7 linked regions of the Solanum lycopersicum genome follow. The main gene of each other region encodes a partner of the protein of the gene in region 4 in a complex. Links are inferred from orthologs where the notes say so. Each region holds a gene or a part of one and is shown on either strand. Other genes may lie near its edges.

Evidence for each region.
Region 1: photosynthetic NDH subunit of lumenal location 3, chloroplastic (region 4) and photosynthetic NDH subunit of lumenal location 1, chloroplastic share a complex: the UniProt entries of both Arabidopsis thaliana proteins name them as parts of the chloroplast NDH complex. The link is inferred for Solanum lycopersicum from reciprocal best matches to the Arabidopsis thaliana genes PnsL3 and PnsL1.
Region 2: photosynthetic NDH subunit of lumenal location 3, chloroplastic (region 4) and photosynthetic NDH subunit of subcomplex B 4, chloroplastic share a complex: the UniProt entries of both Arabidopsis thaliana proteins name them as parts of the chloroplast NDH complex. The link is inferred for Solanum lycopersicum from reciprocal best matches to the Arabidopsis thaliana genes PnsL3 and PnsB4.
Region 3: photosynthetic NDH subunit of lumenal location 3, chloroplastic (region 4) and NAD(P)H-quinone oxidoreductase subunit T, chloroplastic share a complex: the UniProt entries of both Arabidopsis thaliana proteins name them as parts of the chloroplast NDH complex. The link is inferred for Solanum lycopersicum from reciprocal best matches to the Arabidopsis thaliana genes PnsL3 and NdhT.
Region 5: photosynthetic NDH subunit of lumenal location 3, chloroplastic (region 4) and NAD(P)H-quinone oxidoreductase subunit N, chloroplastic share a complex: the UniProt entries of both Arabidopsis thaliana proteins name them as parts of the chloroplast NDH complex. The link is inferred for Solanum lycopersicum from reciprocal best matches to the Arabidopsis thaliana genes PnsL3 and NdhN.
Region 6: photosynthetic NDH subunit of lumenal location 3, chloroplastic (region 4) and photosynthetic NDH subunit of subcomplex B 1, chloroplastic share a complex: the UniProt entries of both Arabidopsis thaliana proteins name them as parts of the chloroplast NDH complex. The link is inferred for Solanum lycopersicum from reciprocal best matches to the Arabidopsis thaliana genes PnsL3 and PnsB1.
Region 7: photosynthetic NDH subunit of lumenal location 3, chloroplastic (region 4) and photosynthetic NDH subunit of subcomplex B 5, chloroplastic share a complex: the UniProt entries of both Arabidopsis thaliana proteins name them as parts of the chloroplast NDH complex. The link is inferred for Solanum lycopersicum from reciprocal best matches to the Arabidopsis thaliana genes PnsL3 and PnsB5.

The regions. Positions count from the first base shown.
Region 1 is NC_090809.1:53,937,019-53,940,230, forward strand, and holds photosynthetic NDH subunit of lumenal location 1, chloroplastic, read left to right. Parts: upstream 1-1,157; 5' UTR 1,158-1,304; coding exon 1,305-1,431; intron 1,432-1,509; exon of another isoform or gene 1,510-1,523; coding exon 1,524-1,610; intron 1,611-1,678; coding exon 1,679-1,752; intron 1,753-1,832; coding exon 1,833-1,955; intron 1,956-2,074; coding exon 2,075-2,146; intron 2,147-2,232; coding exon 2,233-2,329; intron 2,330-2,402; coding exon 2,403-2,506; 3' UTR 2,507-2,712; downstream 2,713-3,212. UniProt on the Arabidopsis thaliana protein: NDH shuttles electrons from NAD(P)H:plastoquinone, via FMN and iron-sulfur (Fe-S) centers, to quinones in the photosynthetic chain and possibly in a chloroplast respiratory chain.
Region 2 is NC_090811.1:46,151,489-46,155,214, reverse strand, and holds photosynthetic NDH subunit of subcomplex B 4, chloroplastic, read left to right. Parts: upstream 1-1,481; 5' UTR 1,482-1,696; coding exon 1,697-1,768; intron 1,769-1,850; coding exon 1,851-1,907; intron 1,908-1,987; coding exon 1,988-2,123; intron 2,124-2,201; coding exon 2,202-2,257; intron 2,258-2,327; coding exon 2,328-2,399; intron 2,400-2,976; coding exon 2,977-3,105; 3' UTR 3,106-3,226; downstream 3,227-3,726. UniProt on the Arabidopsis thaliana protein: NDH shuttles electrons from NAD(P)H:plastoquinone, via FMN and iron-sulfur (Fe-S) centers, to quinones in the photosynthetic chain and possibly in a chloroplast respiratory chain.
Region 3 is NC_090808.1:63,749,795-63,753,063, reverse strand, and holds NAD(P)H-quinone oxidoreductase subunit T, chloroplastic, read right to left. Parts: upstream 2,024-3,269; 5' UTR 1,647-2,023; coding exon 1,255-1,646; intron 1,169-1,254; coding exon 748-1,168; 3' UTR 545-747; downstream 1-544. Other genes in the region: uncharacterized protein, read left to right, coding at 352-544; monothiol glutaredoxin-S2-like, read right to left, coding at 2,671-2,979. UniProt on the Arabidopsis thaliana protein: NDH shuttles electrons from NAD(P)H:plastoquinone, via FMN and iron-sulfur (Fe-S) centers, to quinones in the photosynthetic chain and possibly in a chloroplast respiratory chain.
Region 4 is NC_090809.1:1,367,805-1,371,738, forward strand, and holds photosynthetic NDH subunit of lumenal location 3, chloroplastic, read left to right. Parts: upstream 1-1,140; 5' UTR 1,141-1,222; coding exon 1,223-1,487; intron 1,488-2,083; coding exon 2,084-2,370; intron 2,371-3,179; coding exon 3,180-3,278; 3' UTR 3,279-3,434; downstream 3,435-3,934. UniProt on the Arabidopsis thaliana protein: NDH shuttles electrons from NAD(P)H:plastoquinone, via FMN and iron-sulfur (Fe-S) centers, to quinones in the photosynthetic chain and possibly in a chloroplast respiratory chain.
Region 5 is NC_090808.1:66,282,369-66,286,477, forward strand, and holds the start of NAD(P)H-quinone oxidoreductase subunit N, chloroplastic, read left to right. Parts: upstream 1-1,309; 5' UTR 1,310-1,579; coding exon 1,580-1,718; intron 1,719-3,209; coding exon 3,210-3,574; intron 3,575-3,666; coding exon 3,667-3,783; intron 3,784-3,877; coding exon 3,878-3,963; intron 3,964-4,109. UniProt on the Arabidopsis thaliana protein: NDH shuttles electrons from NAD(P)H:plastoquinone, via FMN and iron-sulfur (Fe-S) centers, to quinones in the photosynthetic chain and possibly in a chloroplast respiratory chain.
Region 6 is NC_090802.1:62,985,699-62,989,670, reverse strand, and holds photosynthetic NDH subunit of subcomplex B 1, chloroplastic, read left to right. Parts: upstream 1-1,172; 5' UTR 1,173-1,296; coding exon 1,297-1,881; intron 1,882-2,341; coding exon 2,342-2,532; intron 2,533-2,670; coding exon 2,671-2,928; intron 2,929-3,081; coding exon 3,082-3,187; intron 3,188-3,441; coding exon 3,442-3,527; intron 3,528-3,623; coding exon 3,624-3,789; 3' UTR 3,790-3,923; downstream 3,924-3,972. UniProt on the Arabidopsis thaliana protein: NDH shuttles electrons from NAD(P)H:plastoquinone, via FMN and iron-sulfur (Fe-S) centers, to quinones in the photosynthetic chain and possibly in a chloroplast respiratory chain.
Region 7 is NC_090808.1:66,330,675-66,334,624, forward strand, and holds photosynthetic NDH subunit of subcomplex B 5, chloroplastic, read left to right. Parts: upstream 1-1,245; 5' UTR 1,246-1,338; coding exon 1,339-1,572; intron 1,573-1,910; coding exon 1,911-1,974; intron 1,975-2,254; coding exon 2,255-2,317; intron 2,318-2,813; coding exon 2,814-2,872; intron 2,873-2,978; coding exon 2,979-3,209; 3' UTR 3,210-3,450; downstream 3,451-3,950. UniProt on the Arabidopsis thaliana protein: NDH shuttles electrons from NAD(P)H:plastoquinone, via FMN and iron-sulfur (Fe-S) centers, to quinones in the photosynthetic chain and possibly in a chloroplast respiratory chain.

The sequences.
Region 1 (3,212 bases), about 53 Mb from region 4:
GATAAATCCATATTACATTTGGATTAAATCTTAAATCACCATATGTTGACCAAGTCAAATTACTGGTTGATAAAGTCTAATTAATATCTAAGCCAAAATTGTATGACTTAAATCAAGTCCAAATCATTTGGATCATTCCATTAAGTTGACAAGATGAGCCCAACTCATGTTCTTCAGGCCCAGGGATCAAAATTGCTCAGACCAAAATACCCTAAAGCCCTAACTCAAGCCTATATAAAGAGGTATTCTTCTGACCAAAAGGACAAAAAAAAATACATATACACAGGAATACATAATTGCTTTTCAGCATATAAAGAAGTCTTCGCTCCAAGGGTTGAGCCGCAAGTATTCCGCCAAATCAATAACATCTGTGAAGAGAAGAATCAGGGGATTAAATATCTTTTTGAGATATTTTATAAAGATTGTAACCTTAGTATTAATTCAAATACAAATATTATTGTTTGCTTGCTATTTTTCCTTTCCTGTATATTGTATTTCAGGATTGAAACTTTAGACGCATACACTGAGATTTGGATCATCCAAGGTACATTAACATGGCGTACTCCACCCCTGGTACCCTTTGATCATTCTTCAATTATATTTGGCGTTGCATTTACACAGTTGATGAATACCTCCACGCTAGGATGTAAATTGATCATTGATGCATCGCCAGTTGGATTTCCTTTCAAATAGCTTGTGCTATACAGTGATTGAAAGAACCTGTGCTTGGTTTTTCCACATCAACATGGGTGCATTTGATATCACATTTCATATGGTCGAGTTGTTAAAGTATCATTATCTTAAATTCTTCGAAGTCAATTGTTAAGGTTTTTAGCATTGATCAACCCATTAATTTTTAAGTTATAAGTTTACATTTACTATCTATTGCAATTTTGATGAATTTTTACACATAAATTTATATTTCGCATTAAAAGTACTGAGTTCAGATAAACTCGGTATCAATACATTAGATCCGCCTCATCCATCAAGGATTCAAGTTTGTGCTGTTGTTACATACAGATATTTATGACATGGTAAACTTGTGAAAAATTTGCAAGAACAATTAGTAAAAATTATCAATGTGGATATAGTCAAATTTTAGCCCCACATATGAAGCACAGCTCATTTAGTTGTAGTTGAAAGAGACATAAAAGCCCATTTGGACCTTGGCAGGAAAGGTCATCCTCACATTTAATTTGCATCTTATCCTATTGAGCAAGAAAAAATGATGGAAAAAAAAGTGATTGTATTAGGAGAAAAAATAAACATGTTAAGCAAAAATCTAGTGATTTTTGTCCACAAAAATGGCAGCTACTTCACTCTCATTGAATCTTGGGCTTCCATCACCAGCAGCCAACAATTTGAATAGGCATGGCTTACACAACATTATTACATGTTCGGCATCAGAAAACACGTCCCCTAATCAACAGAGTAAGAAAATTTCATATCGATCAATTATGAAGTCATGTTTGCATTTACGCCATTTTCTCCGTGGTAAAATTCTACTAGTATCTCTGTTTCAGGATGCTTGATGAGAAGGTCATATCTATTAGGAGCAGGGGCTCTTTCGTTGGGTTTATTATTACCCGCGACTCCCCTTCTAGCTCAAGGTACTCTGTTACTATAATTTTTATTCTCTAAACTTTTTACTTTTTATAATTAAATGACGTGTATGCAGGAGTACCGGAGAACTATGAAATCTTTGTTGACAAACGAGATGGTTATTCGTATTACTATCCATCAGATTGGAGGGTATGTTGCTTCTTTTTTTTTTAAGAAATGAATTTTTAGAAATTAGTAAACTCTCATTTTGACTTTGGATGTATGTACAGGAATTCGATTTCAGAGGTCATGATTCTGCATTTAAAGATAGGTATCTACAACTGCAAAATGTAAGACTTAGTTTTATACCAACTGATAAAACAGATATCCATGATTTGGGGCCAATGCAAGAGGTAAATCGCGGTACTATTCATCTATGTAGCCGTTTTTTATTAAGCTATCAAGGAGGAGAAAAATATAAAAAAGACATGTATTTTCTTCGTCATACCAACTTATTTCTACTTTCCTAAAGGTTGTGCCCGATCTGGTAAAACATGTTTACTCTGCACCGAATCAGGTGGCAAATATAATGGAAATGAAGGAGGTATGATCCTTTCTTATTCTCTTGATTGTACAATATACGTAGCTCTTTTTCAATTAGTCACCATATTTTTGTTCAAAATTATGTAGAGAACTACGGATGGGAAAAACTATTTCACCTTTGAATATGTATTGACATCTCCAAATTTTTCGCGGGCAGCATTTGCTACTATAGCAATTGCAAATGGTAAGTGATCTGGTTTGTTTCCTTTAACTGTACATTACATTTTTCTGCATTCGTATTAAGACATTTCGTACAGGGAGATACTACACATTAATCGTGGGAGCGAATGAAAGGCGATGGAGAAAATTCCGCAACAAACTTAAAGTGGTGGCTGATTCATTTCAGGTGTTGGACATTTAGAATTGTTCTAAGAGCTGCAATGATAGAGTCTTGTTCCATGAAACAGGATTTGCAATTTGTTTATTGAATTACAGTACAAAGAATGTTTCTGGCTATCCCATAAGTAACTGAAATCCCCTTGTAGTTGAAGCGGTGAAGTGTTAACGACAAATTTTAAAGTGATGGAAAATAAAGCACAAATAAAGTACGGCATGATACATATCTAATCTTGGTTTCAAATTTTAACTTTGACCTCCAACGTTCATAGTAAACAAACAAACACTTCAATTATCTAACCCTTTAATAAATAAACACGCGAGTCGTACCTGGCAAACATGTAATGTGCATGTATTTTGTGCGAGTTAGGAGTAGTAATTTTTGAGGTCCACAATGGTAAAAAAATGCTGAAATAACAACTCCACCATTAATGAATCCCTTTTATATATTTTTTTATATTTCCAAATCAAAATTCATTTAAATTTTTTTTAAATTCTAAAATGGACGCATAAAATATTTAATTAGTTGGCAGTCATTGAGTGGCTCACTAATATACGTGGGAGCATTTGCATTTCACTCTCTTTGTCTCCAAAAATCGTGTGTTTATTTATTTAATGGTATGATAGTTTAAGTGTCTATTTGTGCACTATTAAAGTTGGAGGTCAAAGTCAAAATTTGAAGTCAAGTTTAGGGTCCAATATATGTATTATGCCTATAAAATATGATGAAA
Region 2 (3,726 bases), on a different chromosome or scaffold from region 4:
ATTAATTAATGACGTGACAATTTTCTATTGGCCAGATTTTAAATAACCTAAATTAATTTAAAAACCCACCCATTCCTAAATTAGATCCGCCCCAAATTCAATTAACCCATCTTTGAGTATATAACAGTACCTCAGACAGAGCACCTCCTGTAGAAGACATAATCAAACTGGATTTTGCACCATATCTGAAACTTGAAGATCTTACTGATGACCATATTTTTACGAAACAACGCCAGTGTTAGAATTCACAGACACCATACCAGCAGAATGAGGAGTATGATCGCCGAGCCATGGGAAAACGAGTCGAGAATCAGGTGAAGCACCAAGAAACTTTGGCAATGGTGAAGGCTCATAACGCCTGCTGCTACTACTGGAACGACTATCACGATGAAGGGTATCTTGCCACGCCCATCTACCATCATCCCGTTTCGATCTTCCTTGAAAGATAACACAATTTGCCAGATCAATTCAAATGCTTAAGAAATGTCACAAAATTAAAATGGTATTGAACTAGCTGAATTTTCCTAAGATTAAACCATTGAACTAGCTGAATTAAATCAAACAGTAATGGCATTACTGTTTGATTTAATTCAGCTAGTTCAATGGTTTAATCTTAGGAAAATGTTTTAAGAATTAAGGTGAAGAGTGAGTAGAATAAGAGGAAAGATAATGAAAGATAGAGATGGATGTTAAGCAATTAGGAGACTTTAGTTAGTGATAATACTTTTTATTTATAAGTTGCTCTGGTTTCTTGATCTGCAAAGAAAAAAGAGGAAGGTGATGTGTGTGTGTTGAAAAAAAAAAAGTGGGGGTGAGGGGGGGGGGGGGAGTGATGGATTTTATTATCCTTTTGAAGTTCTTCAGGGCAAGAAATCGAAGAAGAAGCTGGAAATTTCTTCATGAAGAAGAAAAGACAATGGAGTCATGAAAATTGTGAAAATGGGAGGAATAAGGTTTTAGCATATTTTAATTAGATGGTTATTTTTAAAATTGGGTCAAGTGGGCGGATTTAGTTAAAATAGGTGGGTTTAAAATTATTTTAAATAATTAAATTACAATCAATGGTTGAGTGCCACGTAATTAAAAATTATTATTTAATTATTTTTAATTTTGGTTTGTTAATGAATGGGTAAATTTAGACCCAAGGGTGGGTGTGAAGGGTATTTGGGGGCCAATAGATGGATGGAGGGTAATTGTGTACCATTTTCAATATTTCGAAGGTATTTTAGACCCTTTTCTATATTTTTAATTCTTTTTAGTTATAATTTTATGTTAACATTAGTAATGAAAATACATTTTTTATGTATTACTTATTTATATTTTAGTTATATCTTCTATGATACATAAAATAATATATAATTTTTTGTAATTTACACCTACATTAATTATAAATGTTTCTAATAAGTTTTATGCTAAATAAGTATTGAGTGTAGCAAATATCCCAATGATTTAAATTCCAATATCCAAGATGCGTATGATGTGTGGTAAAGGAAGAATAAGACAAAACCAAAATTGTTTGAGAAAATAATAGTTGTGAGTAAGCAGAAGAGTGTGTTTTTCTTATGTGTTTTCTTAACCTTATAACTCGGATAAAGGGAATAGATGAACCGTGTGTTTTTCTTATGTGTTTTCCTAACCTTATAACTCGGATAAAAGGAATAGAGGAACCCAAAAATAACTATCCCAAACTCAAATCATGAGCTTCACATTCATCAAACCCTCTATTCCTAGTCCTACATCGGAATTGCTGCACCCTTTCAGTAAATCAGTTAAAACCATTACTTGTATCTCAAATTCAATCTTTTTATAATTAATTCTGCTTAACTAATTACCTCTTTTCACTTTCTCAGCAGCTAAGGCATTGTCCAACCTCACCTTTTGGAAATAATGCAGGCAGGAGGCACCAGGTAGGTTTTACATGTTATTATTGATTTGAACAAGTATGGTTTGCAAAAGCATAATTAATGCTGTGGATTTCTATGATTAGATTGAAAGAAATAGGGTGAAGGCACTCCCAGATTGGCCATTAATGGCAGTATTAGTTGAGCATATGGAAGGTCAAAGAGACCTCATAACTCATAAATCTGTTTGGCATCTTAGTGATGAAGCCATGAAGAATGTCTGTGAGTAATCATTACTTACTAATTCATTTTTATCATTCTAATTCAAAATTCTCACACCTAATTTTTTCTCCATTGTAGATACATTTTACATCATGTTCACTGTTTGGGGATGCTGTTTCTTCGGTTCTACCAAAGTAAAATTTTTGAAATTAAACTTCATAAAATTGAGTTGTATCTCATTATTATGTGTCTTTTTTCTTTTAGGATCCTTACTATGATTCAGAACAATACAGAGGAGATGGAGGTGATGGTACTGGACATTGGGTCTATGAGAAGGTACAGTTTTTCTTTTCCGTTTTCTATCAAGGTTAGAAAATCAAAAGGGAAAAATACCCTTTCTTGTTCGCGACAGAGAAATGTTTATAGGTTTCAGTTAATATGTCGTTTGGTTGGGAACAAGTTATATTAGGATTAATTATACGAATTAATTATTTGATCATGTAAATGTGATAACTTATCATAAATAATCTCAGAACTGCTTAATACCTCCAACCAAACACACGGATAAAACATGGATTATCATAGTTTATACCTCACATGCGAGTTTTAGCTTTGACAGGTGAAAAAAAGGTTTTTAAAGAGTTAATTGTAGTCTAAATCCTGAATTCTTGATGTGAATGTTTTTTCCATTAAAAGAACATCTCTCGTTTCTAAAATAAAACTTTACTGAAATAATTTTATGCATATAAATGTCAAAATCATACTAGCTAGTTTCGAATTGTCTGAATTTGTTTCAACATGAATTTTGGCACCTAAATGTCCTATTCAAGATATATAGATATCTTTACAAGGTGGAATGCCATGATATTTGTGTAGTGAATGATACTACAAATCTGATTTTGTGATTGTGCAGCAAGAAGACATCGAAGAAGAAGCGAGAGCAGAGCTGTGGCGTGATGAACTGATAGAGGAGATTGAACAAAAGGTTGGGAGTCTTCGAGAGCTTGAAGAAGCTGGGAAGAAGGAACAGTTGGTCAAATGATCATCTTTATATGTGCTAAGAACAAATTTTATGATGCTTCCCAGTTATGTATATACAATATATGATTTCCAGTTCTATACAACATGGCTGTTTTGCCTTAATTCAGTGTTATGTTGCAAAACTCAGATTTCCCCTTCAAAATGTTGTCTTAATGAACTGTCACAATGTCAACATTTGCACTGTACAGAATCAGTTCTCTTTTTGTATTTGCTACTAGCAAGTCATGCAATGCTCTTTTAACAAGATTCATGGCATACACATCACGAAATCAAAAATTACTTCAATAATAGCCAAATTGTTAACCCTTTGGGTTGGATCAGTAGTTTGACCTTGGGACTTGCATGTTTGAAACCCCCTGCCAGCGAAAGCAAGAAGTTTGCCTTTTGGGTCGAACTCATTGCAGCAGGCTTGCAAGTAGTGAGCTATTGCATAAGAGCGAAAAAATTACCTTGTGCGCACCCAAAGAATAGTGACTGTGAAATCCCGTTGTCTTCAAAAATAAAATTAAAAAATAATAATAATGGCCAATATGTTCCCTCCCTGGTTGAGGAGATTGGAAAGAATTTTGGCTTAAAGCTACAAAAGATATCATCTCTGAATTTACATTCAAGACTGCATAGT
Region 3 (3,269 bases), on a different chromosome or scaffold from region 4:
ATTCATTTGATATTTGAAGAGTAAGTGAAATTTTAGAACTTATCAAACTCTTGAGAATTACGGAGTTGTTATCAAACTCTTGAGAATTACGGAGTTGTGTTATCAAGAAACGAGAAACTCTTGTTTCTATTTAGCAATTAGCATGACCGTTGGTGTTTTCTTGTTCTTTGTTATTATTTATTGATTGAAGAGTAGGTATCTAAATGCAGATTGATAGGAACGTGCGCTTCAAAGCACTCTTCAATTGGATTTTCCTAATATTCTCTTTTAGACCAGAATGAGACACAAAGATCAAATTGTGAATATGAATTTCCATGTCTTTCAGCATTATTTTGGTGTTTGTTTTAACAGGCAACTGGAGCTGGATATGGAAACTGTAGTTAAGGTACTACAACCTGGTCCACTAGGCATTGTGGAACACAAATTTTCTGCTGAGGAAATACAGAAAGCCAGTGACACCGTTAAGCATGCAGTGAGTAATTGGCGTAGGCAGGCTAACATTGAGAAACATAGCCCCATCATGAAAGATTTTATTGATGTATGAGAGAATTGTTTCTTCATTTGCTGTCAATAATCTCATGAAAAGACAATAGTGTAAATTTGTAATCTCAATAGAAATAAACTATAGTTATACTTATGACTAAAGCTCTAGTCGTTCTGTTTCCCAATCCATTGTCATTGCAGTGTATGAACTGCGTATTGACAGTATAGAATATTGTTGTTGTATAATGCACATAGTTGTTCCTGTTAATATTGTTCCTTGAAGACTACTGCATATATAATGCAGCAAAACGAAAAGATGATAATCAAGATATCAAATGTGAGGGCAGTTTTTGCCTGATTACTCAGCTCCATGTTCCTTCCACCAAGTCGATCCACCATGTCTGGAACAGATTCCCAGTTTTCTACTTCCAGCATGCGTGGATCTTGCAGCCTCATTTTCATTTTCTCTGCTTCTCGACTTGCTGTCTCCTGAGCTAGTGTCCAATCATAGAATCGCCGTTGTTCCTCATCACTCAGGACATCATAAATTTCTCTTAGTTTCATAAATTTCTCTGATGCTGCTCTTATAGGAAGATTAGTTGTGTCTGGATGATACTCCTTTGATAGCCTCCTATATGCAGCTTTAATTTCCTCTAGATCAGCTGTTGCAGATACTCCCAAGAACCTGAATTTGAAACATTAGAATTATGAACTGTGAGCCACACATTAAGAGATAAGATGAAGATAGCAAAGTAGATAATGAAGACTAACTGGTAGTGAGAATTAGCTGAACTGTTGAGGAGGTCTGAGAATTTTTCATCAAAGAGATTCTTTTCGTCTGTTTTGATTCGTTCTTGTGTGGACCGTGACTTACTCTCTCCTACCCATCCTTCATCTTCGTTTTCCCAGTGAATTCTTGTGTCAACACCAGGAGGAGCACGTTGTCGCCCAGTAGCCCCTTCTTCTTTTGCATAAACTTGTAAGCCAACACGGCGTCTTCTTTGTTTTGTTGTCAACCATCTGGTATCTGTTCTGTGCTCATTATTGGTTTGGTTCCTTGTAAGAAAGGTGAATGGAGCTGGTGGAGCTGTTGCTGACGCCATGGAATTGGAAATTTGTTTTGTGTCTGATTTGAGTAGTCTTAGAGGGAGGGGCTTTCTCATCACCTTGTCTTTCTGTGTGGTTGAGGAAATAACTAAACATTTTGTTTGCTTTTTTGTCTACATTTGTGAAATATCAATAATTTTGATTTTTGACGTTTGTACTCTTTAACTTCAAGACAATTTATATACATTCTTTAAGGTACTAAAAAAATTATAAAAGTAAGTTGGACAGGTTGAGTTATGATCCACGTTTTAGTCCATTTCAGTCCAAGTAACTTTTGGGCGGATCAATGACCTGTCTATTTATTAACTCAGCTCATTTTTAACCCGAACAAATTCAGTCTTACCCGCTCATTGCCACCTATAAATACAATCATACTCCTTGGGAGTTGGGTGGCAAAAAGAATGAGTTTGTGAGTTAGTGTTCGGAACGCAACACACCCCTTGTCTCTATATTTTCCTTTTTATATAATTATCATGATATTCAAGTTAGCTGACATATATTTAAACTAATTTTATAGGATGAGCTAACTCGTAACTTGTTTTTTGAATTGTTGAAGTGGAGGTCAATGTAATTTATTTTCTTTTTTGTGGCAAATAAAAGAGAGCCAAGTTGTTCTTTTAACCCTTTTTAAATCTATCTTGCTTTCAATTCACAAGGCAGGATCATTATACAAATATCACATATTTTACTTTTTTGAATAGATTCCGAATTTACAAACTTTAAATCCTGGATTCACATCTCGAGGAAACACAACTTCATACTCAAGCATCTAACAAAAATAATTAAAACAGAATGACAAGTCATGTTGAAGTATGGCATTGTATATAATTTATTATTACAATGCTTAAAGATACATTAAAAGACACTTGTTTGAGAAAACAGAGTTTTCATTGAGCATACTAAATAAAAGATGCTCAATTCCACAAACATTAAGAAAAACCAAACTTACAAGGTGTTAATATGCACTTTCTACATGATATATTGTAGTTTTACTAGCGTGAGTCTGAACTAATCATGCCAGTAAATTTCGCATACTAGATATGTAAAGCAAAAAAAAAAGTGTATATATATATATACACACTATAGCCAAAGAGCTTTAGCTTTCATGAGTAGAGGAACAAGATTTCCCTCTAGATGAAGACTCATAATCTCATTGGCACCGCCAATTAATTCTTGTCCAATAAACACTGCTGGCACGCTAGGCCTTCGGCCTAGCATCAGCAGAGCTCGCTCCACTTGTAGCCCATTGGGAAGTTCATCCAATTCATATACAGTTAAATTAGCACCAAAACTTGATATAAGTGTCTTTATAGTGTGACACATACAACACTTGCTTTTGCTAAACATAACCACTGGCTTTTCAGCTACCATTTTTTTCAATGACTCCATTTTTAATTAATGAAAAAAAAAGATTAATGTAATATAAGAGAATTGATAACTTGTTGAATTGATGATGAATTTGAAACTCTTATTGAAGCTATTTATATACTAATAGTGACTTGTGAAGATTCAATATGCTTCCTCTAAACCCCCCCCCCCCCCCCCCCCCCCACCCAAATAAATTAAAGGAAGGAATAATTTTTTAGATAAGGAGTTGATACTGTTAGATAGCATTAGAAGTTCTTGATACTGTCTTAAAAGTGTACCAAAAATATATATATAAAAAAAAAATCCACCAT
Region 4 (3,934 bases):
ACTCAATTTAACATGATTTCTACCTAATTTAAACTACTACTGTGAAACATTAACTCTTTAAATTAGTCAATTTTATATCTGAAATCGAATTTAAACATTTCTGTATATGAATACAGAGCAATGGAAGAAGGAATATATATAGAAAGTGAGATAAGTTAGAACTTACAGCGGTGTTATCGCCGGAAAGGATTTGACCGGAGTTGGCTCGTCGGAGAAGAACTTCGCCGGAGGAACTTGCCGGAGAGTGTGTAATTTGAACTTCGGTCCCAAAATGCGTGAAAATTTTGGGCTCGCATGGGTCCGTTTTAGAAGAAGTTTGGGCCTGTAAGTGAAGCCCATTGGGCTTATAGTTCATTATATGCAATACGATTACTCGAACGGGGCGGAATTGATCAATCTACATTTTCAATTCCGATTTTTCTTTCCACGAGCGTATCTACAGAATAAAGAGAGCAAATAAATGGACTTTGGTCATATTTACTCGACGTGCGGTCATTTCTTCCTTGAACATTCCGTTACGGAAATTGAATCAAGAAGAAATATGACTTTATGAGATACTAATAATTATTAGAACATGTTTTAATTGACTTATTTTAGGTGTATTTAAACAGTTTCATAGCATTCATGTAAAATATTAAGTATTTTTAAACACTTGATGCTACGACAAAATAACAAAAATAAGTCAAAACTCATATATTAAACACTTGATGCTACGACAAAATAACAAAAATAAGTCAAAACTCATATATTAATCTTTACTTATGTCACTTTGCTTATATAAGACATAAACAAGTATAGTTAAATAAGTTCTTAGTTCATTGACCATATAAAAAAAATACAAGTGTAACAAATAGGAGAATCGAGTTATAGATACAAAGAGATTGAAAATGAGTCAAGTAAAATAGATAAATTATCCAGCTCACTCGTATTTGATTCTTTCTTCAAAATAATTAGGTTGAAAGTCAGTGACAGAGCTAAGATTTTAAGTAACAAATTCGAAAAATAAAAATATCATAGGAATTTATAATTTTGGGAAAAACATAAAAAGGAAAAAAAGAAAAGAAAAGAGGGGAGAATTACAATCTTACCCTCAATTGAGATATCCTTCTAGTGGCCAATAGTCATCAAGATTTTCATCAAATGGATAATAATATTATAACTTTTTTTGAAAGTGCAAAAAATAGGCTATCATTTTTGTTCATAGTTTCAACACCAAAAAATTATGGCAAACACAACAAATTTAAACATTATATTTGAAGCTCTTCCCCTCATTCCCAAGATTGAAAAAATTCAGAAAAAAGCAAAAACAATAAGCCAAAAAAATAAAGAAATTCAAGAAAATTCACCACCAAAAATTACAAGAAGATTAGCATTAAGCATTGGTTCAATTGCTTTATTTGCAAATTCAAGAATTGATATTTCACTTGCTGAAGATAATAATGGATTTTTTATTACTGGTCCACTACAAGACCCTTCAATATCCACCAGTAAGTTTTTATTTTCTATATTTTTTTTTATCACGTCGCGTTTAACAGCCACTAACACTTGCATTTATAGATATTCCCAATTCATCTAATGCGAAATGTTTTATGTACCAGACTACATTAACAAAGTTCATGTATAGCACGAATATGAAATGGGTGAACCCCACATGTCCAAATTATTCGAGTAAAAAAATTTGAATTCGATGTAAAATTACCTTTATACACTACGAAAAAGCTGTGAATACATGGGGATTTTCCTTGGAATTAGTATAAAAATTCACCATAAACTTATTTTCCTATAAATTTTCATACTAATTCTCAGAAAAATCCCCATCATAGCTCATAGATAAGTGTGAAATTAGCCGAATCAGAATATTTCGCTGAAGCAGAAATGATAGGATCGTAAGAAGAAAAAGTCTATACGCCTATCCGTATTATGTAATTTACAGTTTTCTTGTAGTGATGTCGGACCCCATTTGGTGTCAAAGGGTAAAAAATTGAGCTTTTTTCGCGCATTTAAGTTTAAGATATCAAGAATCGAGTCGATCGTCCATAATTTTAATATGTTAGATAAAAGTTTTTGTAATATTTGATTGTAGATATTATAAACAAGGAGACAGGTACAAGATCATTTCTTAAGAAAGGAATGTACATTGCTAATATTGGAACAAAAGGGAGAATTCATAGGTTGAAAAGATATGCATTTGATTTATTGGCATTAGGGGATTTGATTGGAACAGATTCTTGGAATTATGTGAGGAAATATTTGAGGATTAAATCTACATTTATGTATTATGATTTTGATGAAGTTATCACAGCTGCACAAGTGAATGATAAGCAACCTCTCACTGATCTTGCTAATCGATTATTTGATAACGTTGAGAAGGTACATTTGATTTTATTTGTCTGATATTATATGTTGCTCGTATCCTTCAAAAATATTGTCCCAAATGTGTTCAAAAAATATATATAGATTTGAAGAGTCTGAGCAATATATGATTGATATTAGTTTGGTTAAACCCTACAAAAATTTTGTCGTATCAGTGTCACATCCTTGAAAAATGCATGTTTTCTTGAGGATGCGGTACACAATGTGATGTCAATAGTGTTTTTGAAGAGTCTGAGCAATATATATACACATATATAGGCTTGATGTTATGTTAATTGGACCATCTAAAAATGTTGTTGTACCTGTTATGTCGGATCCATTGCATAGCTTTTGGAGGATCCTCGATTGACGGACATATATAGAAGCACTTTTGAAGAATCCGAGCGACATAGGTTTGATAACTATGTTGGTCGAATCCTCCAAAAATACTGTTGTGCCCATGTGGAATCCTCCAAAATCTTACACACAAAAACTGTGACAATATTATTGAAGAGTCTGAGCAACATATGTCTGATACAATATTGATCGGACCCTCCAAAAATATTGTTGTGCTCGTATCAGATCCTCCAAAAATCTTAGCACATGCTCTGGCAATATTATTGAAGTCCGAGCAATATAAGTCTGGTGTTGTGTTCCTCTGACACTTCAAAAATATTGTCGGATCCTTACAAAAATGTATAGATTTTGTAGAATACGACACACATTATGATTGGTGACCGTCAATATTTTTGAAAAGTCTGAACAACGTAATTATAAATAGCAAAGTTTTTGATCATGTGTTTGCTCCAATATTTTTTTTTATGCAGCTTGAAGATGCTGTGAAGAAAAAGAACCTGCCTCAAACACAATCATGTTATCAAGAAACAACTACTATTCTCCAACAAGTCATGGACAGAATGGCATAAACAAAACATATGTTTTAATTATATTCTGTTAATTAGTCATTTTGACTACAAGAAGACAAAATGTTCCTTCGTAAATTTTGGAATTGTCAATAACACTTTGATGGAGATTCAATTTGATTTCCACATTTTTATAATAGAGACAACTCGGTGCATGAAGCATCTCGAGTCCATACATGACCTATGGAACGATGGAAGGATTACAATCCAAGACTTATTTCAGGTTCGAACATGTAACTAATAGGTCAAACAAAGATAACTATAACTTTTTAGCAGCATTCAAACATAATGAAATATTACCAAACAAAGATAACTATACCGTACCATCGTAGCAAAATTTTTATACATGACCCGTGGAACGGGGGAAGGGCCATAATCCAAGACTTATTTCAGGTTCGAACATGTGACTTATAGATCACACAAAGATAATTATAATGTTTTAGCAAAATTCAAACATAATGAAATATTATCAAATAAAGATAACTATACCGTTTTAGCAAAATTCAAATATGATGAAATATTACCAAACAAAGATAAATATACCGTTTTAACAAAATTCAAATATAATGAAATATTATCGAAAAAAATTAAAATGGAGATGCGGGGTATCGATCCCCGTACCTCTCGCATGCTAAGCGAGCGCTCTACCATCTGAGCTA
Region 5 (4,109 bases), on a different chromosome or scaffold from region 4:
ATTTCTGTAAACAGGGCAAACTCCCACTACGTTGTAATCATCTTGAAGCACATCAACGCAAAACCAAATCTGCTATCCCCAGGTTCCTCCACTTGATATCCACCACATCGATTAAGTCTATAACTAGGCAACTTGCTATACTTTCTAATTGACGGATTCCATATAAACAAGTCATGCAATTTGTTACATAGGCAACACAAATCAATCTGTTTACCGAACCCACCAGCCAAGGATAGTCTTTGGAAATTTTACCTGGATAATCCAAGTCAATTACCTCCTTTACAGAATGGCGATGTAAATCACTACACATAACTAGCCAACATAAATAGCAACCTTAAACATAACTCCTTGTTACTAGCACAAAATAAGAGATGCGTCTTCACAAATTTAGGGATAGAGATTAAGGAAAGCCAAGATTTCGACACAGACCTGAATTGTAAAAGGGATTTCACCGGAAGCCTTAACAAAACTAAATCTTTGCTTGAAATGGACTGAATTTCCATGGGTTTGCTCCGCTTTGGGAGGCTTCGTCCTCTTTGGATTCCATTTGGGTTTTGCAGAAATGGGAAATCTTTGAGGTTTCGATAGGGAGATTACTATATAAAAAGCCCTAAAGTTTGTCTTTTTTATTTTCCCTCTTACAACAGAGCTGGTTTTAGTTTTTATGTTTTAATACTATATAAATAATATTTTCACTGGTAATTTATATTTTAAAATCATTATATATTGAGTGTTGGTTATATTTTGTTATCTTAAACAACTTATGTCTTATAAGGTATAAATTTATTTTCAAAATATGATGCAGGAATCAAAGCACCATAGTACGTGTTCTAGTTAAAGGAAGGAGATATATGTGCTCCAATTATTTTTGGAGTTCTGTTATGTGTTTCAAAAGTTTTACTAGTAATTATTGTGAAACATTGTCTTTTTTAGATGTTAATGGTCGTATCACAATTCATATTTTATCTGTGGTGAACGTTCTTACTCCTTATGAATTTTACAATGAATACTTAACTTTGTTTTATTTTAAAAATTCAAAATATAAAAGAATAAAAATTAATTTATTTGAAGGACAACTTATGCAATTAAATAGGATGTTTGGAAATTTCATAATCTTTACTTGGATTTTGGATTTTCAATCCAAAATATATAAATTAGGTTTAAGTTTGGCTTTTGTTCTTTTCTAAATCACAAAATTATTTCATTAAAAAAGTTACAATAGAGTTTGAACTCTCACCTTATGATTATTATTCTAGCTATGTTTGAATATACAATATAAAATTAAAATTTGAATAACTAATTTGAGATTATGTTATCTCAAATTTTAAATTCTCCCCAAAACATCATTTCAATTTTTAAAATATAGAACTTATCCCATAAATTTATATAGCTAATATTATTATGCATATTTAAATATTTGTTATTTGTAATTTCTTTATTGTAAAGTTTATCAGCACATTTATTGAGTGGCAAGGAACAAAGTAGTCATCTTTGTCCAAGTTTGCAATGGTCCTTCCACAGTCTCTGTTGCTATAGCTGCCTACTGCCACCACTCACACACTGCCACCAAAATACCCAAATGACAACTCTCTCCTACACCTTCCCTAGCACCACCAGCAGCAGCAGCAGCACTAGGAGGTTCTTGATTACTAGCAATGGGTCTTCTTGCCGGCGGCGCCCCAATATTTCCACTGAAGACCAACCCTGTTCCTCTTCAGGTCATCCCCAATAACCCCTTTCTCTGTGTGTGTGCGCAGTGTGAAGATTTATAATGCTTAATTGATATTATGGGTTGTTACAATATCTTGATATTAGGGTGATCACTAAAAAAGTGAAAAGATCAAGACTTTGTAATAATATTGCATCTGTGTGAGGTGGGGTGTTAATTTTTATTTTTTTTTAAAAAAAAGGGGTTCATATTGGTGGTTAAGGCTTGAGCACCTCCTACCTTTGAGGTAGTTTAGATAGGCCTAAAACTTAATTTTACATGGTATGAGTACCAGGTTCATTCCCGGTGTGAGCTTTTGGTTCTCGCTCTCAAGGGGCCTAAGCGTGAAGGAGGGTGTATGGTTTTGCGATTGAGTTAGGTCCGGATGACAATATCTTTACGGACTTGATAACTTAATGGTTGATTCAAGCTTGTTAAATGTAAATATTAAGTTATGTAGGGAGTGGAAGTATGCATTTTACTTAATAATGTTTTGAAGTTGTGTACAAATTCAGCTTCAACTCACATTTGTTCCCAATTTTCAGCTTTATGGTTCAATATCATGGTGTGTGTGTGTGTGTGTGTGAAGATGTATAACGTTTAGTTGCTATTATGTGTTGTTATAATATCTTGATATTAGGGGGATGGTTAAAGAACTGAAAAGATCAAGACTTAACTTAATGGACTATTCAATCTTGTTAAATGTGAATATTTAGTTGAGTAGGGAGTGATATGTACACTTTACTTAATTCTGTTTTTAAGCTATGGTTTGGGTGTGTAGAGATTCAGCTTCTACTCGCATTTGTTCCCAATTTTCAGATTTATAGTTCAATATCACGGTGTGCGTGTGTGTGAAGACGTATGCTTAGTTGCTATTATGTGTTGTTACAAAATTAGGGTGATGGTTAAAGAACTAAAAAGATCAAGACTTGATATCATAATGGGTGATTCCAGCTTGTTATATGTAAATATTAGTGGGGTAGGTAGTGAAAGTGTACATTTACTTAATTATGTTTTGAAGTTTTGTTTTTTGGGTGAGTAGAGATTCAGCTCCAACTCACATTTGTTCCCGATTGTTATTGTTTTACATGGTATGAAATCCAGACTTTCCCTAATATTGGTCTATAAAGCTGAAAATGTTTGTGCTTACTGTTATGCACTGTCACATTAAGCAGTGCATTGGCAATGTTTCTAGCCATTGTTGACAATGGTAAAAACTGACTTCTGGTTCTCGAGTTTCACAGGTTGCTTACAGTAGGCACCCTTTCAGTTCTCCCTGTAACATAATCTTATCAGTTCTCTTTGGAAAATGACTTATTTATAACTTTTTCTACCTTTTACATGTGGAAATGCACACTTGCAGCACCAAAATGATACTGTTATCCTGTTCGCATTAATTAAATTTTGAGAGTGATGTCTTAACGTTCAATGTTTTTCATTATGATGCCTTTGTTCTTTCGGTCATGTACCATGAAATCTGAATTAAAATGGCAAAATGCAGCCTGTTATCAAGGGGCAGTGCAGTCTTATGGTCTGCAGAAGCAACGAGTACAATTAAATGGCATATCAAAGGCTGTGAGAACGAGAAGACTTGATTCAGTTGGAAGACAAAAGAAAGGAGCAATTAGATGTAACATTGAACTTCAGGACTTCATAGGTGGAGATCTCATTAAACCTGATTTGGGTCAATGGTTATCAGATGTGGAAGAACACAAAGCCATAGCAATTTACTCTCCTCATGAAGGGGGCTATGAAGGACGCTACCTTACACGTCTTAAGTACCAGGGATATCATTTCTTGGACCTTTCGGCTCGTGGCCTCGGTGACCCTGAAACCACTCTTACCAAATTCCACCCTGTCTGCCCTGTAAGTTTAGCAGTTCGCATACGATATGCTTATTCTCAAACACTAACTTGCAGTGTCTAATTGACTCTCATCTGCAAATTTTGATGTTGCAGGCTCATGTTGGTAAGCAACCAATAGCTAGATGGTATTTTCCTCCAGAAGTTGATTATAGGCTTTCTTTACTTCCTCCGGATGCTAAAGGATTAGTGGTTTGGATAATAGAAGCCAAGGTTAAATCCACCCCTTCAAGTGTACATCATCTAATTAGTCCATCAGCAGTATTTTGACTAGATCTTTGTTAACTGTTTGACCTAAAATGTTCAGGTCTTATCAAAGGCAGAGCTGCAGTTTCTTGCTTTACTCCCGACACTTCGTCCTAATGTGAGGGTCATTGCAGAGTGTGGTAACTGGTAAGATTTTCCTTTCATCTTCCTTTTTCTTGTTTATCAATCAACTCTCTTGTAAATAAGGAAACTTTGAGATCTTGTCGTTGTGGTTAAAACAACATTGTATGCAAAAGCTACCTGGATTTACTTCAGTTTAGCCTTCTGTGGTC
Region 6 (3,972 bases), on a different chromosome or scaffold from region 4:
AAGCCTAAGAATTTACTTTTTTTTTCTCTTTTATGATCTCATTATCTCTTTTTCTATATATAATAATATTTTGTTTTTTCCTTTTGATCTCATTAATTGACTCTGTTTATAATCTTTACTTTTTTGACTTAATTGTTACACAATTTTGTGAAGTTCCTTTCCTTTTTCATGCATCTTTTTTTCTTCTTGATTGCATATTAAGCAATCGTTTTTAGGATAACTGTACTTGATTCTCCCTATGATGGAACAACAATATACATAATTTGTTATTTGCTAGCACTTTGTATTTTAATTAACACAAGTAGTATAACTCACGATTCTGACAACATAGATAGGATTTCTCCGTCTCAGACAGTAATGGAGCTAAAATTTTATCTAAGGGGTGTCAAAATCTAAAAAAATAAAATTATGTAAAAGCTAAGGAATATCAATATGTAATATATATATATATATATATATATATATTAAACCTAACTCAATTCAAAAAGCTAATTCAGGGCGATGTTTTTGAAAACGTTTTGGGGCGAGTTTCAGGGAGGGCCATATCGAAAATGCTCCAGGGCGTAAATGAAAGAAGTAAATTCATAAGGTGTAAGTCTTGAGCATAAAAAACGTAAGTTCTGGGCGTAAAACGTATATAGTGACGTTTTAATTTATTATTTAAAACTTTTTTTACTTTAAATTATATTTTTACTATTGGTGTAATAATATTTTTCAAATAGTAATTATAATATATTTTTCTTCATTATTGATTATTAATATTTATTGCAAATAAGAATTATAATCATTGAAAGATTTATTTTTATTTATTTTATTAGTAATAAAATTATAATATTAAATATACATGAGACTAAGCCTAGTAGACCCATGGGGCTTACGCCCCGTGTTCAGGGATTTACTCCTCGCCCTATACGATATAAATCACCTCACTTTTTAAAATATTGATTCAGAATACGAAAGAAATTCTAGTAAAAATTATTTTCTCTTTAAAATCAAATTTATGCAATTTAAATTAGTTAGATTATCAATATGGCTACCATACACTCGATTGAAAACAAAAACAAAAAATACTTTTTCATTCGTCATAATTTATATGATATTATTTAATTTAATATAAAATACAAATGATAGACATAAATTGAGACAAAAAATCGCTAATGACGAGGCAGGAACATAGTGACAACAATGGGGACCTACTTATCTCACTACCTTCACACATTGAAATCCAACGTCACCTTCTGCTATAGTTTTTAGCTATCCCCAAAAAAAGTTGCAGAATTTTATGATAACACTCAAATGGCTGCCTCTACTACTCTACTATCTAACTCCATTTCTCCTTTCTTTGCTAATCCACCTAATTTTCCTGTAACCCATGTCACAAATGTACCTTTCTTGAACCACAATCCATCTTTTCCCGCCAGAAAATCAGGGAATTTTTGCCTCAATGCCAAGAAAAAAAATCCATGGCTTGACCCTTTTGACTATGGTGATGATCCTGAAATGGAATATGGTTCACTTTTTTCTGAAGGGAAACAAGATGAAGATCCAAGGCCACCTGATAATCCTGATAACCCATATGGATTTCTCAAATTCCCAATGGGATACTCTGTTGAGATTGCTTCGTTGGGTTTGAAAATTAGAGGTGATGTTCGGAGATGTTGTTGTGTTATTGATGGTGGGGTTTATGAGAATTTGCTGTTCTTTCCAGTAATTCAGATGATTAAGGATAGGTACCCTGGTGTTCAAGTGGATATACTTGCAACAGCCAGGGGAAAACAGACATTTGAGATGAATAAAAATGTGAGGTGGGCTAATGCCTATGATCTGGATGATGATTTTCCTGAACCAGCTGAGTATACGGATATGCTTGGAATTCTTAAGGTTTCATGCCGTTCCATTAACATTAACATCGATTCATAATTATTTAAATTCTACGTTGCTTGGACTCTTCAAAAATGTTGATTTTAAAGTGCATTACTTTTGGAAGTATCCGACACACATTAATCTACGAGCAACATAGGTTTAAGCAAGTTGTTTCATTTGAAGTATGATTCTTGTCGTGCCTTGATGTATTAGCACCTAAAATTAGAGAAAGTAACAAACATTATATGGAAACTTAGTTAAATACGAAGATTTAACTATGGTTATCTTATGAGTTTGCAGATAATTCAAAAGTTGAGCAGACTACGTTTGGAAAAAGAATCGCTTAGATTAGCTTCAAGATGCTGTTCGTCTTGTTTAGTCAGATAGAGATAAAAGAATTTGCTTCCTGCATTATGAATAGAGAGTTATAGTCATTTTTTGGGCTAAGTTATTTGCTTTAATGCATGGTTTGTTGCAGAGTAGGTACTATGATATGATCTTGTCAACCAAACTGGCAGGGATTGGACATGCAGTATTTTTGTTTATGTCGACTGCTCGTGACAGAGTTAGCTACATTTACCCAAATGTGAATTCTGCAGGAGCAGGATTGTTTCTGTCAGAAACTTTTACACCAGAAAGCATGAACCTCTCCGAGGGCGGATATCATATGTAAGTAGATGTTCCAACTGATAACTTGATCTTTTTGACTACTGAATATTCATTTCAAAATAGGGAGTTTGAAAAGTGCAACAGTTGTACTTCGTCAAAGTTTGTATAAACATGTTTACATACACTTTTTTGAAATAGGTACCGTCAGATGGTTGATTGGTTGGGCAGACCAGCTCGTAAAGTACCTCGACAACCTTTACCCCCACTTAAAGTTTCAATCTCAAGAAAGGTTAGGGAGGTTGTAGAGGCAAAATATAAGAATGTTGGTGCACAGAAAGGCAAATATATTGTGATTCATGGGATTAAATCAGATTCAAAAGCTTCTATGCAGTCAAGGGGTGATATTGATAGCTTGCTCCCTATTGAGATTTGGGCTGAGATAGCAGAGGAGATAAGGTATAATGTCAGTATTTTATTCTCTGTCGGAAAAAGGGCCGACTCGACTACATGGTCATTTTTAGTTCTCGAATTAGCTGATTAGCCTTTTTTCATCAAATGCAAGAAAATTTGTGAGCTATACTAATGGTTTGTAAACTATCATTTGATCAGGGGAGTCAAGCCAGTTTTTGTCATTCCACACGAAAAAGAAAGAGAAAATGTGGAAGATGCAGTTGGTTACGATGCTAGTATAGTGTTCATAACCACCCCTGGACAGGTTTGTTTTCTCAACCACTTTCACAATATCAATGACCGATGATCAACCAGTGTTTAGTTGAACAACCATAAAAGAAGAAATTGGTTGGAGTCACAGATATAATGGCAACAATTTACAGTCATATTCAAGGAGGGTATAATCAAATGAAAGTAGTTTGCTTCTGTTGCATGTTTAGTGGCAGCTTTAACTATAGTCTATATACCGCGGGATGAGCACTAGAAAACTAACAGTCCCTGCATATTTCTCTGCCTTAGCTTGCTGCTCTTGTTGATGACTCTGCTGGAGTGATAGCTACAAATACAGCTGCGATACAACTTGCTCACGCACGTGGAAAACCAAGGTAATGTCATCTACTACAAGCTGTAGACGCGGAAATTTTTTGCACCTTCTGCTGTCTTTGTGGGGAGGTTGATATATCTTGGTTTTGTCTGTACAGTATTGGGCTATTCTGCTCTGAGGATAAGGCCAGAAGTTTTGTTCCCAATGCAGAAGCAAAGAAATGTGCAACTATTTCATCAAATACTGGAAAATTGGTTGATATTGATGTTGAAGCTGTGAAGAGTGCTGTTCAAATTTTCACCATGCCCCTAGCAATCTTCTAAATATTATACATCCTCCAGTTCTCTTACATATAGTAATTAAGTATTCCTGTAATTGTTACTAGTTCCATTTTCTTCTCAATTGTAATTAATAGAAGCGGAAATATATATATTCGTTCTTTTTTCTCAACAGAAAAGGAATATGGAGATATGTTATTTATCAATGTGACACTTTAGGACATTCTG
Region 7 (3,950 bases), on a different chromosome or scaffold from region 4:
ATACATAAAAGAAAGATACAGTATACGTACAGTTGCTTAATAATTAAAGGAAAAATTATATAAAATATCAAATTATTAATTCAAATTAATGTTATAATCATACTTTGATTTAATTGTAACTCGTAGCAAACAATTGTCATTCACCTCTCTCCCCGACGAATTTCGCTTGCCACTCTCCCAGGTCTTGCTCGTCACTCTCCCTCGTCTCACTCACTTTATACAAAAGGCAAATGAATAAATTGTGTTTGTATTTGTATAAAGCGGGAGAAAATTATATGTACACATACATATAATTTCGTCATATACACTTATAATTATACAAATACAGATTTCCTCTACAAGTTCTCTTTTGTCATTCTCTCTTTCTCGCTTTATATAAACACAAATTACAATGTATACTTTGTGTTATATAACTCGAGAGAGAGAGCGATTTGATATACAAATGTTTTATTTCGATACATTGTATACAAATTCAAATTTTATGCAGATATACAAACACATAAAATTGAATTTAGAGGTTGTCAACGATTTATACAAACGAGAGGCTGCCAATGATTTAATGTACCATAGCAAGTATAAAATTTGGTATGGGCCGCAATTATACAAACTATAGTTATAGTATACAAATATGATTTTTTATGTTTGCTAAACCTAAACTTACTTATAATTAAATAGTTTCCTATTGAAATAATTATTTCTGTATGAATGTCGTCGATATTTTCCTCCTTTTTTCTCCCTTATTTTTGTCATAAGTTGGAAAAAAATTTAAAATTTTGAAATATTGGTGAAAATATTTTTTTAAAATAGTTTTAAAATAATTTTTATAATGGTAAGCAAAAAAAAAATCTGGTTTATGGCTAAGAGAGGCTAATTTATTTTGTTTAAAGCATTTTGAATAATCTCATTTAAATAGACATTTACGTTCTCCAATTCTGGATATGTACAATTACAAGCAGACATATAAATATGTATATAATTAAACAAGTAGACACATCCTATGTGACATCGTACGTGACAATTTGCATCCTATATAATGTCCTACGTGCATTATATCACGTAGTACGTCTGTTTATGTTTGTTCAATGTTATATAAATTTAAGTGTTGATTTATCTACAATCAAAGTTGAAAGACATAGATGTCAGATGAAATCAAGTTAAAAGGGGTCGGAAATTGTGGTAACACAATAAGAGACTAAATAGATATTAAAAAAAAAATATAAAACCATAATATATAATAGCCTTATCCACGTATAGCCTTAACCATTCAAAATATATGGATAATAAAGTTAGAAAACATAGAGTAAACAAGCAAGAACAGAGCAACACTACTCAACAACAATGGAGAATTCTTTAACACTTTCACTACTCTCCACAATTCCAGTTCCCAATTCAGTATTCTCAACAAAATGGAGTGTTCTTTTTCGAGGAAATCCATGTTCGATTTCCTCGAAAATTGGTACAAAATGTGGTGGATTTAGATCATCAACAAGATTGTATGCAGGACTAACAGAGATAGAACCAGATATCAACGAAGATCCTGTTGATCGATGGAGAACTAATGGCATTGACATTGTAATGTTTCTTTTCTTTTCTTCGTTGTTTTTAAATAATTGTAGTGTTTGAGTAAGTTTAATATCTTTCATCAACATAGATATCGAATAATTTTGATATAATACAAAATGTCCTTTTAACTTGGCTTTTTTTAACTGACAAATGTATCTATTTTTTCAATTTTATATAAGTCTCTATTTGTGTACATCGAAAATAAGAGGATATAGATGTAACTGAAACAAAATTGAAGGGCATATTTATATATTTATGTAATAATTTTTTTTTTATTGAAATTTTGACGGATTTATTTTAAGGCAGACGCATGTTAACTAATTTTATTTTATTTTAATTTGTTGCAGGAAGATTATGTTTTTGGAAAATACGATGATCATCATACGTACTTTGAAAGTGAAGATAAAAAAGGTACATAACAATATGTGTGTGTTTTTTTCGATTTAATTTGTAATTTGAATTGAAAAATATCTAAATTTGTCCAATGTATTATTATATGAATTCGATCAAGTTAGTCTTCGTTCGACTTTTCGTTTAATAAATCGTTTCATATTTGTCCAACGTGAAATTGGTGAACTCCACGTGTTCAAATTCTTCGAAAAACACAATATTTGAGTAGCTATTTTTACAAAAATAGGTAAATGTATTTATACTTAAACTATACTTAATTCTATATCACTTGCATTTTCAGTATCATTTTGGGGATCCATAGCAGAAGATTATGCTGCTATTGCACCCCCAACAGGATTTCAAGGTATGTAACAAATTACCATAATAATATGATCATTAACTTAGTCATTTACTTTTCGCACTTTGACTAATTTCACGAAATACTTTCCATCAGCAACAAGTATCAGCTAACTCTATCCATCTACCAACACCGATTGTGGTTCACTGGTGGGAGTGTTTCACTCTTAACCACAGGTCTCGGGTTTGAGTATTGGATATGATCTATTGAGAAAATCATGTTGGGAGCGTCACCCTCAAATATAGGACCTGCAATGTGCGATTCGAATTTAGTCGTAATTCCAATGTAAGCTCCGGACATCGGGTGGAAAAAAAAAACTCTATTCATCCACAGTGGATAAGACAAATGAAAGGATCACCTAGAATTTTTCTTCTCTCGCTGAGAATTGAACGTGATGAGACCTCGTGACTCTTAACCAGTTCATTGACCACTAGGGCACACCCTTGAGTGCTTCTTTAGTTATTTACTTAAAATAACTTATTTTTCTGGTGTTCGACAATAGGTATCATTTCATGGCTGTTTCCTCCAGCAATAGTTGCAGGAATGTACTTCAATGTTCCTGTAAGTTAATGACTAAATCTCTACTATATTACACATTTTTCGAGGCTCGAAAACACCCGTTTCCAGCAACTAAAAGTCTTGTATTTTCACTTCTTTGACAATGCAGGGGGAGTATTTGTACATTGGAGCAGCTGTGTTTACAATTGTGTTCTGTATCATTGAGATGGACAAACCAAGTGAAGCACACAATTTCGAGCCTCAAATATATAACATGGAGAGAGGTGCGCGAGATAAGTTAATATCGGATTATAACACAATGGACATTTGGGAATTCAACGAAAAATATGGTGATTTATGGGATTTTACTGTTAAGAAGGACGATATCATGAAACGATAGAAATAAAAAAGAACAACGAATTCATATGTTCTGAATATATCATTAAGGTATCTAAATGAATCGCGTAATGATCATTGGATTTCATCGATTACTCGAAGATGCATATGATCTGGTGTTGTTCCATGGTTGTACTATATGTTTCTTAACTACATTGAGATGAAAAAAAAACTCTAATGAACTCCCTAGCTGAAGAATTACACTGTATATATAAGGTCAAAGTTATATATTTCTTATTAGTATATGTCAAATCCCTTTATCAATTCTTTATATTTTGAATTTCCTTAATAAAAATTCTGATTGCGCTACTGCGATGAGAGTTGTATAAATCAAAGTACATAGGATGTTTAAAGTTACATTAAGAAGGAACTTAAGAGTTGAAAAGTTTGATTGAATGATGAGTGATAACTAACATGATTTGGCTTTTTTTTCTAATATTTTTTATGAATGTTCTGATATTGCTTGTTGTATGTGTAAATATACCTACTGAATTAGCTCTATGTACTACTTCCGTTCCAATTTAAGCGACACTTTTTGAATTTCGAGATTCAAACAAGTCTATCTTTGATCGTAAATTTTTATATATATCTTTTAATTATTTTGAATTGTCAATTATTACGACTTATATTACTTTTAACGTAGTTTACAAATATATAAATTTAAATTTTGAAAAATATTAAAGATTGTACGTGCAAATTTTCGATCATACTTAAACTATTTGACTCTGAAAAATGAAAAATATCA